Linked DNA regions of Mus musculus: regions 1 and 2 are each reported to be linked to region 3. The links are microRNA targets in miRTarBase. Many come from high-throughput screens and were not tested one by one. Region 3 holds a microRNA gene; each other region holds the end of a gene's coding sequence.

The links. The annotated mature microRNA mmu-miR-3472 reads UAAUAGCCAGAAGCUGGAAGGAACC and lies in region 3 at 2,121-2,145, opposite strand. An mRNA with a match to its seed (bases 2 to 7 or 8) in the 3' UTR can be bound and repressed. Matches are read on the target gene's strand: a 7mer-m8 pairs with bases 2 to 8, a 7mer-A1 pairs with bases 2 to 7 and ends in A, and an 8mer does both.
Region 1: the mRNA of Csmd1 is a reported target of mmu-miR-3472. Seed matches in the 3' UTR shown: 7mer-A1 at 3,476-3,482.
Region 2: the mRNA of Rbm34 is a reported target of mmu-miR-3472. Seed matches in the 3' UTR shown: 8mer at 2,972-2,979.

What each region holds. Positions count from the first base shown.
Region 1 is chr8:15,892,396-15,896,463 of GRCm38, reverse strand. Csmd1 (CUB and Sushi multiple domains 1) reads left to right here. Exons shown (of 70, transcript NM_053171.2): 70 at 588-3,919. The coding sequence ends at 747. Among named protein-coding and RNA genes, the nearest start is that of Gm46073, 39 kb to the left of the region's middle.
Region 2 is chr8:126,945,795-126,949,862 of GRCm38, forward strand. Rbm34 (RNA binding motif protein 34) reads right to left here. Exons shown (of 11, transcript NM_172762.3): 11 at 1,378-3,749. The coding sequence ends at 3,441. Tomm20 (translocase of outer mitochondrial membrane 20) reads right to left here and starts at 127. Exons shown (of 5, transcript NM_024214.2): 1 at 1-127.
Region 3 is chrX:145,037,467-145,041,534 of GRCm38, reverse strand. Mir3472 (microRNA 3472) reads right to left here and starts at 2,191; the gene lies at 2,121-2,191. The region is part of intron 2 of Rtl4 (retrotransposon Gag like 4); the gene reads right to left.

The DNA of each region.
Region 1 (4,068 bases), not on the chromosome of region 3:
CAAGCACTCTTAACTGCCAAGCCATTCCTCCAGCTAAACAAGGTGGCTGATTCTGACCCATCAGGGGATGAAAAACTGCATTGTAAAAGTAATCATCATTTAGTGAATTCTGCTAGTAGAGATGAACGTATTAGAAATTGAAATGGCTTTGAAGTGCTGCCTGCCCCACGCACACACATGGGCTGAGCACTGATTTCACCCCATAAAGCCTGTAGTGGCTTCCCCAAGTCCTTGCCGCTTACTGGCAATAGATGGCTTTCCAGACCGAATATCTCCCTGCGTGCTGCCTCTAATATCTTCAGAGTTCCCCAAACTTTCCTTCAATGCATAGAGAGATTTATTTTTATTTTATTTTATTTTATTTTATTTTATTTTATTGATATGGAAAATGATTTCCAACTTTATTTATATTCTGTTTATAATCTCAAACAGCAATTTTTAAAGAGTCAACACATAGTGAAGTAGCTACTATGCCCTCTCCTCCCCATAACCTTACACGAATATTTTCTGCTGAGAATGCATGGAGACTGGGTGGAGGCTATGTCATTGCAGTTAGAATCTGATTATGTTCTCTCTTTTCTCTTTAGAACAAGACCAAAAGTTCAATATAATGGCTATGCTGGCCATGAAAACAGTAATGGACAAGCTTCATTTGAAAACCCCATGTATGATACAAACTTAAAACCCACAGAGGCCAAGGCTGTGAGGTTTGACACGACTCTGAACACAGTGTGTACAGTGGTATAGCCCTCAGTGCCCCCTAGGACCGATTCATAGCCATACCTCTGATGGACAAGCAGTAAAATCCTTTGGTGCCATATACCACCCCCCTTCTACTCTTGCCTTGCTGCAGCAACCTTGGCCATCGTCTGCTGGCATAACGCAGTGGGAATTTCTTCTCAACCATGACCGAGTCTTCTGAGGATCAAATTGCAAATACATCTTCATCTGGAAAGTGGATTATAAAAGCCTGGCTGCTGCCTCCACCAGACATCAAGACACCGACAACGGCGAGGGCAAGGAAGACTGTAGTCTTACAGACAGGTGGTACTTAATGCCTCTGACTTTTGTGTCTCTGTGTGGCCAGGATGCCTTTGGATGTAGTCTTCTGAGCATATGGATACATCCTTCAGGTGCGGCGACAAAATGGTAGCAACTTGATATGTGTTTTGTGTTTTTCTTTTCTTTTTAACCCTATTCCCTGGACACGAATTCTTTACAAAAGAAAAACCTTCCTGGAGAAGACGTCTTCTGGAAAATGCACACACGTACACTCGCTTCACTCCACCCTGCCTGAGACATGAGCTCTGTGGATCTTCAGGCTCCATTGGGCATCCATCAACTACTAGGGATGTTTGCAGATCCCACAGTCAGAGCTGTTCCATCCAGGATTCTTGATGCTCAACATTTTGCACTAGTGTGTTAAGAACAACTAAGTCTGATTTCTAAACAATTTCCACAGGGTTTGTATTCATTATACATTGTACATAAGCATTTTCTCATATTGTATTCTCAAGCAACAGATGCCACCATCAATTAAGTTGGAATGTAAAGGGAAGTATCCCAGATACAGCACAGATTTTGAAAATAAGACAGTATGCTGAAGAAGTTATATTATCACTTCTGTTGGCCACACTTATGTGTCAAATCCATTGCCCACTTCTGGTGGTAGAAATGAAACCACATAGTCCCCTTGACTTCCCCCCTTCATGTGTATACAACTATTGTCTATACATTACTAATCAATAACAGGGGGCTCCAGCAATGTCCATTTTCCATGTACAGTGTGAATAGTAATTTATTTTAGGTAGCTCATGAACTCAGTTCACAGTGTAGTCTTCCCTTCTGAATTGTTTCCTTTCTCTGTTCTGTAACATCACCCTCCCAGAATGCATTGAGAGTCTTATCTCACAGCCACACCCAAGCTCAGAGGAATCAAAAGGGAAATCAAAGTTCAAATCAGAATCGGAAGGGCAGGCGCCACTCGCACACCCTCATGATGATCTGTTTTATAGATTATTTGCCTTCTTGCAAAAAAAAATCATTAGAGTGATTTTTGAAACGTTAAAATTCCTTACTGATAGACTATCTATTATGATATATATAAGATAGGTGGTATGGCCAACAGGGATAAAATAAACAGCCTGAAGACAAGGCAGGGCCAGAGAAATGTCTGTAAGAAATTCAAAGAGAAGATCATGTTTATTTTTATTTATATTTGTTTGATAAAAGTATTTTTGGAAATATAATGCTTATTTTATTATTTGACGTTTCATGCACAGTCCATGTGGTAAAAATCCCCCCGTTTGCACATCCCAGATTTGCACTGATACATGGGTCAGGATGCCATGCTGACGTTCTGTTTGCTGGTGACTACATTCATGCCTAGCTTTAAGACAGGTGGATCTGTCTATCTACATGATGTTTAAATGCAGGACTTCCCAGAGGACAATGGATAAAGAAATATTGGCTTACAGCTTTGGAAGTTCAGCATTCTGAGCATTCCAGAGGCCCCGCTGGGCTTCCTCCTTCCAGCCCTCTCTTCTTGCAAGGGCTGTCTGTTGTGTCAGGACTCCTGACTTCTGTCAACACTCTATCCACTGGGATTCATATTTCAGGACTCCATGTCCTAGGAAGGAGTTTTGATATAGGTTCCTTCAGCCAAGCCAACACACATCCATGGGATTCCTCTGGGTCCACAGAGGTTCTTCATTGGCTCCCTGGGAAATTCAGATGATGTCAACAAGAGTGTGCTTCTAACCACACATAGAGCCAAAACAAAACAGAGAGCGTCAGAGGGTCCACAGACCAGAGTGCGTAAGGGAGAACAGGGTTACTATATATATTAGATGTATATAAAAACACACACACAAACATATATATATTTATATATATATTGTACATATCTAAGTTTGAGTCACTCAGACTAGGTGCAAAATGCTGACTTTGGAGTCTAAACTAACGTCTCTGTCCCCACATCCCTGGCCTCTTTGCTGGCCAGTTACATTAAGAAGACTTGACTCAGACAGGGCATACATACATGCAAGGAGCCACATCGTTAGACCAGTGTCGTTTTCCTTTGTGTGCAAACTGACTTACAGCTACCAGACTGCATCGTGGTATTCAAAACCAACATACAATATTGAGCAGCACTCAGTTGAGAGCCTAGCTCAATTCTTCCTAGGATGTGTGTGTGTGTGTGTGTGTGTGTGTGTGTGTGTGTGTGTGTGGTGTTTCACCAGGTCTCAGAGGCATTGAAGACCTAGCAGGACAGTCAGGAACACCTTCCTCAGTGAGGTCTCGACTCTTCCCTGAAGCGCCCAGAGCACAGTGAGGAGACACGCTATGAGTGACAGATTTTGTGCTTTGAAGCTGTTCAACTGTCGCTTGTCTTTGCCCATCTTGCCTTCAGGCTAGCTGCAATAATTTTTTTCTTCTGTAAAATATTTTGTAAACAATAACAACAACAACAAAAGCTATTATAAAAAAAAAAGGGAGAAAAGAAAGCTGGCATTATGATCAGGAAAACCATCCATTCTCGCTGCCCCACCCTCCCGTCCCCACCACACGCTGCTGTCACAACGTAGGTGCGGAAGACCTTTTTGTACAGAGATATATTTTTTATGAAGAATTTGTAAAATTATTAAATATGCTGTAATTTTTTGATTAATGTAGGTAAATTGTTAAAAAAAATAAATGTTTTTACAATACAAAACTGTAATTTTCCCGATAATGTAACATTACCCTCTCTAGCTGATTTTCGGTTCCAATCCTATTCGACATGTATTAATATTAAGGCGGCCTGTTAAAATGAACAGTATCTTTTTGTCAAAAAAAATTATAAAGAGAGTGTAACATAACCTGTGTAATGCCACCTATCTTTAAAGCAAATCAGAGTTCTAATTAAATATTTAATTTTAGATTTCTTTTTTTGTGTGAATTTATTTTAGCTTTACCATACACAAGGAAGTCTCTGGCAGGGGAGGGGCTGAACAGAAGTGTTGTTAATAATCCTTTATAATAGTAAGAACAAAGCTCAATCTTTTCCCAAGCCAGTGGCATCATGGG
Region 2 (4,068 bases), not on the chromosome of region 3:
GCACGCCGGCCGCTCGCAGCCGCCTGCCTCCAGTCCAGACGGAAAAGGCCGAGCGCGAGGACTTCCGGCGCGCGAGGACCCCGGGGGAAGGTCCGCGGCGGGCTGTCCGCGGCGGTGCCTGCGCGGGAACGCCTGGTGCGCACGCGCAGATGGACCCAGTCTGCGCGGCTGAGACGCCAAGCTGGGGGCGGGGCGTGCACTGCAGAAGGATTTGTGCGTCATCCCGTGACCAGGGGGTCAGGGGCAGCACGTGTTTGTGGCGTGCTGAGTCAGAAGCCTCTAATCCACTGTCCTTGCTAATGAAAGACGAAGGTGGGAGCCGGCTGAGAACAGCATCTCATCTCACTGTGTCCTTCAGGAAGCCTGTGACTTGAAGTGCATGCGTTTGCTTTTTAGGTTTTTGAGACGGGCTCTCCCCTTGTAGCATAGTAGGGTCTGGAACTTGCTGTGTAGTCTGCCCTGGCCTCGAACCTGCAATCCTTTTGCCTCATCCTCTGAGCTGTGGTTTTAAAGGAAGACCTGAGCCGCCTGATCTGGCAGTATTTGCTTTGTAAATTGCGTTGTGACTGAGATTAGACACAATGATTGACTGCAAAATAATTTTATGATGTAGCCCTGGTGCGGAGAAGAAAAATGGGTTAATTCGTTCAAAAAAATTTAACCTGTAAGGAATGCAGAAGGGCAAAAAAAAAAAAAAAAAAAGTCTATGGGTGGCCCTGATTTGTGCCGTCATTAAACTGCAGTCTTGTCGTTCTCTCCCTCCTCCACAACCCCCATCAAGATTCCCAACCAGCTCGTTACTAATGCTCGAACCCACCCACCACACTTGTGGCTGGCTTTTGAAGGAAAGGCAGTCTGGTACAGCAACTGCTCCCTTCACTGAGGAAACATCGAAACCTGGGACAGTGACAAGCTATGCTGCAGTCTCTGAGAATTGGGTACAGTGATAAGAGGTAGCCGATGCAAGCCTTTCCTGCACCTCTCATTGTAAGAATGCTTTTTTTTTTCATTTATGCATATGAGTGCTCTACCTGCATGTACACCTTCGTACCAGAAAAGAGCATTAGATAGCATTACAGATGGTCGTGAGCCACCGTGTGGTCGCTGGGAATTGAACTCAGCACCTCTGGAAGAATAGCCAGTGCTCTTAACTGCTGAGCCATCTCTCTAGCCCCTTTAAGGATTTTTTGAAGCTATGTTAAGGGAGAAAAAAAGTTTACAAGAAAAAAATGTTTCATACTCATGACTAATCAGTACTTAGCCAGCACTTTTATAACAAAGCCAACTTCTATCCACTCTTGACCACTTATATACATAGTCTTGTGGCTATTAAGTATTTTATCAGATAGAACGTACCAAGAAATTACACTAAGCATCTTTAGAAAATTTCCTACAAAATACATTTTTTAATGATTTACACAATCATAGTAGCACACACATTCTAAAGGAGGAATTTCAACAGTTACACAGTACCGAATTCCAAAGTATCTAGGGCCAGTGAGATGGCTGAGTGAGTCCATGCTTTGGAAGGAGAAAACTCCAGAGTTTTCTTCTGGCCTCCACATTCACATCATACACATATTAAATAAAGTTACATCTATGCATGTATATAACCTGCTCACTCACAGGAGCTGTAAGTTGTACATAGATTATATATGCACGCACAATCTAATGTTACATCTTTATATAGTTTATGCAAAAATGCTCCAGAGTGATCAGGTAAAATTGCTGAAATTTAACTGAAAAGGTTCTAAATACTGTAAGGAAAACCAACCATAAATTATCCAGTCTTGGATACAGGAAATAGAGCTTTCTCTGCTGTAAAAGCTACACACTTTTATTTATTTTTTAATATTTATTTAATGTGAGTACACGGTAGCTGACTTCAGACACACAGCAGAAGAGTGCATCGGACAGATGGTTGTGAGCCACCATGTGGTTGCTGGGAATTGAACTCAGGACCTCTAGAAGAACAGTCAGTGCTCTTAACCACTGAGCCATCTCTCCAGCCCCACACTTTTATTTTTTACTTGTATATATGTGTGTGTAGGTTATGTTAGTGAAAAAGTGCACAAAGTCTGGGGAGACTAGAGGAGTTGGACCTAGGAGCTCAAGTTACAGACAGTTGTGAACTGCTTGACGTGGGTACTAGGAATTGAACTTAGGTACTCTGAAGAGCAGTGCATGCTCTTAACCAAGAAACCAACTCTCCAGCCTCTAGAGCTATGGGGTTTGTTTGTTTTTTGTTTAAGATTTATTTATGTGTAAGTACACTGTAGTTGTATCCAGACATTCCAGAAGAGAGCATCAGCCAGGCATGGTGGCGCACGCCTTTAATCCCAGCACTTGGGGGGCAGAGGCAGGCGGATTTCTGAGTTCAAGGTCAGCCTGGTCTGCAAAGTGAGTTCCAGGACAGCCAAGGCTATACAGAGAAACCCTGTCTCAAACAAACAAACAACAGAAGAGGGCATCAGATCTCATTACGGATGGTTGCGAGCTACTATGTGGTTGCTGAGATTTGAACTCAGGACCTTTGGAAGAGCAGTCAGTATTCTTAACTGCTGAGCCATCTCTCCAGCCCCTAGAGCTATGTTTTAAAGACCTCATTAGGTTTTCTACATGGCATTTCCCAAAGACAGAACTTTTACAACTAAAAGAGTGAAAACTTATCCTACCCTCTTGCCTACTGGACTCTGCCTGCCTGAATCAGCCTTGGCTTCCTGCTTCCCCCACTTCATCCTGGATCCAGCCCCAGCTTGGTAAGATGTGTCTGGAACTTAGGGAATGCAGCACCATGTTGTCATGTCATTCAACTTTAAAGACTGCAGTTTAATTAACATCATTTATTAGATGCTGTCTTTAAACTTTCTGGGACAGCTGTTTCATTCTGAGTGATACTAATTTAAGCATCACATTTTCCTGGAAGAGTATTTTTCTTATGAGCACCCCCCCCTCCACACACACACACACCTAATAGCCAAGGACATCATTGACCACTGTAGTCACTGGCAACGAATTAGAAGATAGTCACTCTTATCCTATCAGTCTTATTGGTTAGCAATTATTAGATATATGGGATAAGAAATGTAGATCTATACTACAATTGCAAGAGAAAGAAAAATGAGAAGTGAAGAATGTGCGTGTGTGTTTTACACAGCTCACAAGTCTTTCTTAGGGACTGTGACTATACCTGGAATCAGTATTCTCACAGTGACCATTTGAACACTTATCCTAAACACAGAGTATTAATGTTTATTATTTTTCTTTAAATACATTTCTAAGAACAAGGCTTCAAAGAAGCCTTACATATAGCATGAATTAAAAAAAAAACAAAAACAAAAACCAGACACCGTGGATGCCTCCACATTTTCTACATAATCCATAAAAAACCCAGACACTCATTGCAAGGTTTCACCACAGAAAGGAGGCAACCTCAGTTATTACTGCTGTTTTCTTGGTTTCTTCATTTGTACTTTTTTCTTTTGTCCTTTCTTTTTCTTTTTCATGAGAACTGCCTTTTCTCCAATAAATGCATTCTTGGAATGGAATTTTCCTTCTTTGGAATGGAATTTTCCTTCTTTGGAAGTAAAATTAAGTCTTTGCTTAGGTTTAATGACATCCTTCTTCAAGCTTGGATTTGAATTCTGTTGTTTTAGTTTTTCTTTATTAACAGAACGCATGACTCTCAGTTTTCTTCCCATTAGCTCAGAATTATTTAACTTCAAAGCAAGATGAACAGCATCTGTGTTCTGCAATAAGGAGAAACATTAATTTCCACCAGAAAGTGATATGCAATGAGACTAGTAGGTCAGAATTCAGTGGTCTATGTCAGTCTTCAAGCTTGTACACACAAGTCCTTCTAGTCTATGCCCTAGAGGTCAGATCCAAGGGTTTGGTCAGCCTTGCTTGAACCCCTTGTTGCTCATGTTCCACTCACGGCTACAGGTGGCGCTCAAGCTGCTTCACTAAATGCTCATAATCACCACCACAGGTTCACTGTTCATCATATGATGTCTCTTTAAAACAGTAATCAGCTCAAAACACAACTTTCTTAAAATTCCTGTTGTA
Region 3 (4,068 bases):
AGATGGAAATATCTCCCATGCTCATAGATTGGCAGGATTAATATAGTAAAAATGCCTATCTTGCTGAAAGCAATCTACAGATTCAATGCAATCCCCATCAAAATTCCAACTCAATTCTTCACAGAGTTAGAAAGGGCAATTTGCAAATTCATCTGGAATAACAAAAAACCTAGGATAGCAAAAACTATTCTCAACAATAAAAGAACCTCTGATGGAATCACCATGCCTGAACTCAAGCTGTACTACAGAGCAATTGTGTTAAAAACTGCATGGTACTGGTACAGCAACAGACAGGTAGATCAATGGAATAGAATTGAAGACTCAGAAATGAACCCACATACCTATGGTCACTTGATCTTTGACAAGGGAGCTAAAACCATCCAGTGGAAAAAAAGACAGTATTTTCAACAAATGGTGCTGGCACAACTGACAGTTTTTATGTAGAAGAATGAGAATTGATCCATTGTTATTTACTTGTACAAAGCTCAAGTATAAGTGGACCAAGGAACTCCACATAAAACCAGAGAATCTGAAACTTTTAGAGGAGAAAGTGGTGAAAAGACTCAAAGATATGGACACAGGGGAAAAATTCCTGAACAGAACAGTAATGGCTTATGCTATAAGATCAAGAATTGACAAATGGGACCTCATAAAATTGCAAAGCTTCTGTAAGGCAAAAGACACTGTCAAGAAGACAAAAAGGCCACCAACATATTGGGAAAGCATCTTTACCAATACTAAATCTGATTGGGGACTAATAGCAAATATATATATAGAGAGAACTCAAGAAGATGGACTCCAGAAAATCAAATAACCCTATTAAAAATGGGGTGCACAGCTAAACAAAGAATTCTCAACTGTGGAATAATGAATGACTGAGAAGCACCTGAAAAAAATGTTCAACATGCTTAATCACCAGGGAAATGCAAATCAAAACAACTCTGAGATTCCACCTCACACCAGTCAGAATGGCTAATATCAAAAATTCAGGTGACAGCAGATGCTGGCAGGATGTGGAGGAAGAGGAACACTCCTCCATTGCTGGTGGGATTACAAGCTGGTACAACCACTTTGGAAATCAGTTTGGGGGGTCCTCAGAAAATTGGACATTGTACTTCTGGAAGATCCAGTAATACCTCTCTTGGGCATATATCCAGAAGATGTTCCAACTTATAAATGGACACAGGCTCCACTATGTTTATAGCAGCCTTATTTATTTATTTATTTATTTATTTATTTTCTCTAGTTTTTTTTTTCCATTTTTTATTAGGTATTTCGCTCATTTACATTTGCAATGCTATACCAAAAGTCCCCCATAGCCACCCACCCCCTCTCCCCTACCCACCCACTACCCTTTTATGGCCCTGGCGTTCCCCTGTACTGGGGCATATAAAGTTTGCGTGTCCAATGGGCCTCTCTTTCCAGTGATGGCCGACTAGGCCATCTTTTGATGCATATGCAGCTAGAGTCAAGAGCTCCGGGGTACTGGTTAGTTCATAATGTTGTTCCACCTATAGGGTTGCAGATCCCTTTAGCTTCTTTGGTACTTTCTCTAGCTCCTTCATTGGGGGCCATGTGATCCATCCAATAGCCGACTGTGAGCATCCACTTCTATGTTTGCTAGGCCCAGGCATACTCTGACAAGAGGCAGCTATATCAGGGTCCTTTCAGCATAATCTTGCTAGTGTATGCAATGGTGTCAGCATTTGGAAGCTGATTATGGGATGGATCCCCGGATATGCTAGTGTCTACATGGTCCATCCTTTTATCTCAGCTCCAAACTTTGTCTCTGTAACTCCTTCCAAGGGTGTTTTGTTCCCACTTCTAAGGAGGGGCATAGTGTTCACACTTCAGTCTTCATTTTTCTTGAGTTTCATGTGTTTAGGAAATTGTATCTTATATCTTGGGTATCTTAGGTTTTGGGCTAATATCCACTTATCAGTGAGTACATATTGTGTGAGTTCCTTTGTGAATGTGTTACCTCACTCAGGATGATGCCCTCCAGGTCGATCCATTTGGCTAGGAATTTCATAAATTCATTCTTTTTAATAGCTGAGTAGTACTCCATTGTGTAGATGTACCACATTTTCTGTATCCATTCCTCTGTTGAGGGGCATCTGGGTTCCTTCCAGCTTCTGGCTATTATAAATAAGGAGCAGCCTTATTTATAATAGCCAGAAGCTGGAAAGAACCCAAATGTCCCTCAACAGAAGAATAGATACAGAAAATGTGGTACATTTACACAATGGAGTACCACTCATCTAGTAAAAACAATGAATTTATGAAATTCTTAGGCAAATGCATGTATAAGAAGGTTATCATCCTCAGTGAGGTTACCCAATCACAAAAGAACTCACATGATATGCACTCTTTGTTAAGTGAATATTATCCCAGAAATGTACAATACACATGATAAAGTTTGCAAAACACATGAAACTCAAGAAGGAAGACCAAAGTGTGGATACTTCGTTCCTTCTTAGAATGGGGAACAAAATACTCATGGAAGAAGTTAGAGACAATGTTCAGAGCAGAACCTGAAGGAATGACCATCCAGAGACTGCCCCACTTGGGGATCCACCCCATAAACAACCATGAAACCCAGACACTAGACAGTTGCCAACAAGAGCCTGCTGGCAGGACTTATCTCCTCTGAGGCTCTGCCAGTGTCTGGAAAATACAGATGTGGATGCTCACAGTCATCCATTGGATGGAGCACAAGGTCACCAATGAAGGACCTAGAGAAATACCCCATGAGCTGAATGGGACTGAAGCCTCATGGAAGGAACATCAATATGAACTAACCAGTACCCCCAGAGTTCCTTGGAACTATACCACCAATCAAAGAAAACTCATGGTGGAACTTGTTGCTCTAGCTATATGTAGCAGAGGATGGCCTAGTTGGTCATCAATGAGAGAAGAGGCCCTTGGTCCTGTGAAGACTCTATGCCCCAGTATAGGGGAATTTCAGGACCAGGAATGGGACCATGTTGGGGAGCAAGGGGAGGGGGAGGGGATGGGGGATTTTTGGAGAGGAAACTAGGAAAGAGGATATCATTTGAAATGTAAATTAAAAAATACCTAATTAAAAAAATTACAAAAAAAGACTGTCTTTGTGGTATTTTGGTGAAGAATGTGGCTACATTGTCTGAAAAAGTCTGCCTGAGACTAAGGTGAAGAGACTCAGATTAATTGCTCTGACAAAGGAAGTTTCAAAAATGCCCAGCAGATACTTTATTCTCTTGTTATGTCTTATGAAGAGAAGTTTGAACAAGCATAGCAAACGTAGAAAGGAAAAATATAAAATATATGGTTCAAGTATTAAAGGGGTACCAGGAAGTGAAATGGAGCAAAAATTCTGTCTTCTAAAAGATAACACATTAAGGTAGTAGGAGTTTGGGGCAAAATTCTACCCAGCTAAATTTAGATCCAGGCATGGTGGTGTACACCTTTAATCCCAGGAGAGAGGCATGCTGATCTCTGCATTCAAGGTCTATCTACAGAGCAAGATCCAGATCAAACAAGCTTAGGTAGTGAAGGATTTGGAAAACATAAAGCCAGTGATAATGTACTAGTACAAGTGGGTCATGTTCTAGTTCTTGCAAGCAGCAAAACTCGGCAGCTTCAGCCATGTGACTCTGGCCCTAGAATTAAGAATGAAAGGAACTACTGGGATAATTGATGCTGGTTAGCTGGAGCTAAGAAATTAGCAATAATTGAGACCAGCATCAATGAGATGAAAGCGTCTGGGAATTGTTTTCTGGGAGCACAAATAAGCTGTATTCCAGAGATAGCCAAGGTTGCACCTCATTCTGCGGTTGGACTTGGTAATGATTAAGAGTCACCCAGGTGGTACTGGTTTTGAAGGCATGAAGGTGTCATGAAGAAAAGGTGAGGCTTGGCACTGTGAGAGGTCATGGAAAGCCATTGGAAAAGATGTAGCCTCAGCTGTAGTTGAAGGCCCAGGACTGAAGGGGTCATGCAAAGGATTTGAGGCTTGGCACCATGAAGAGAGCCTATGAGAGGCTATTGGTGAAGCCTAGTTGGAGTGGAACACCCCAGTGTGTTGGA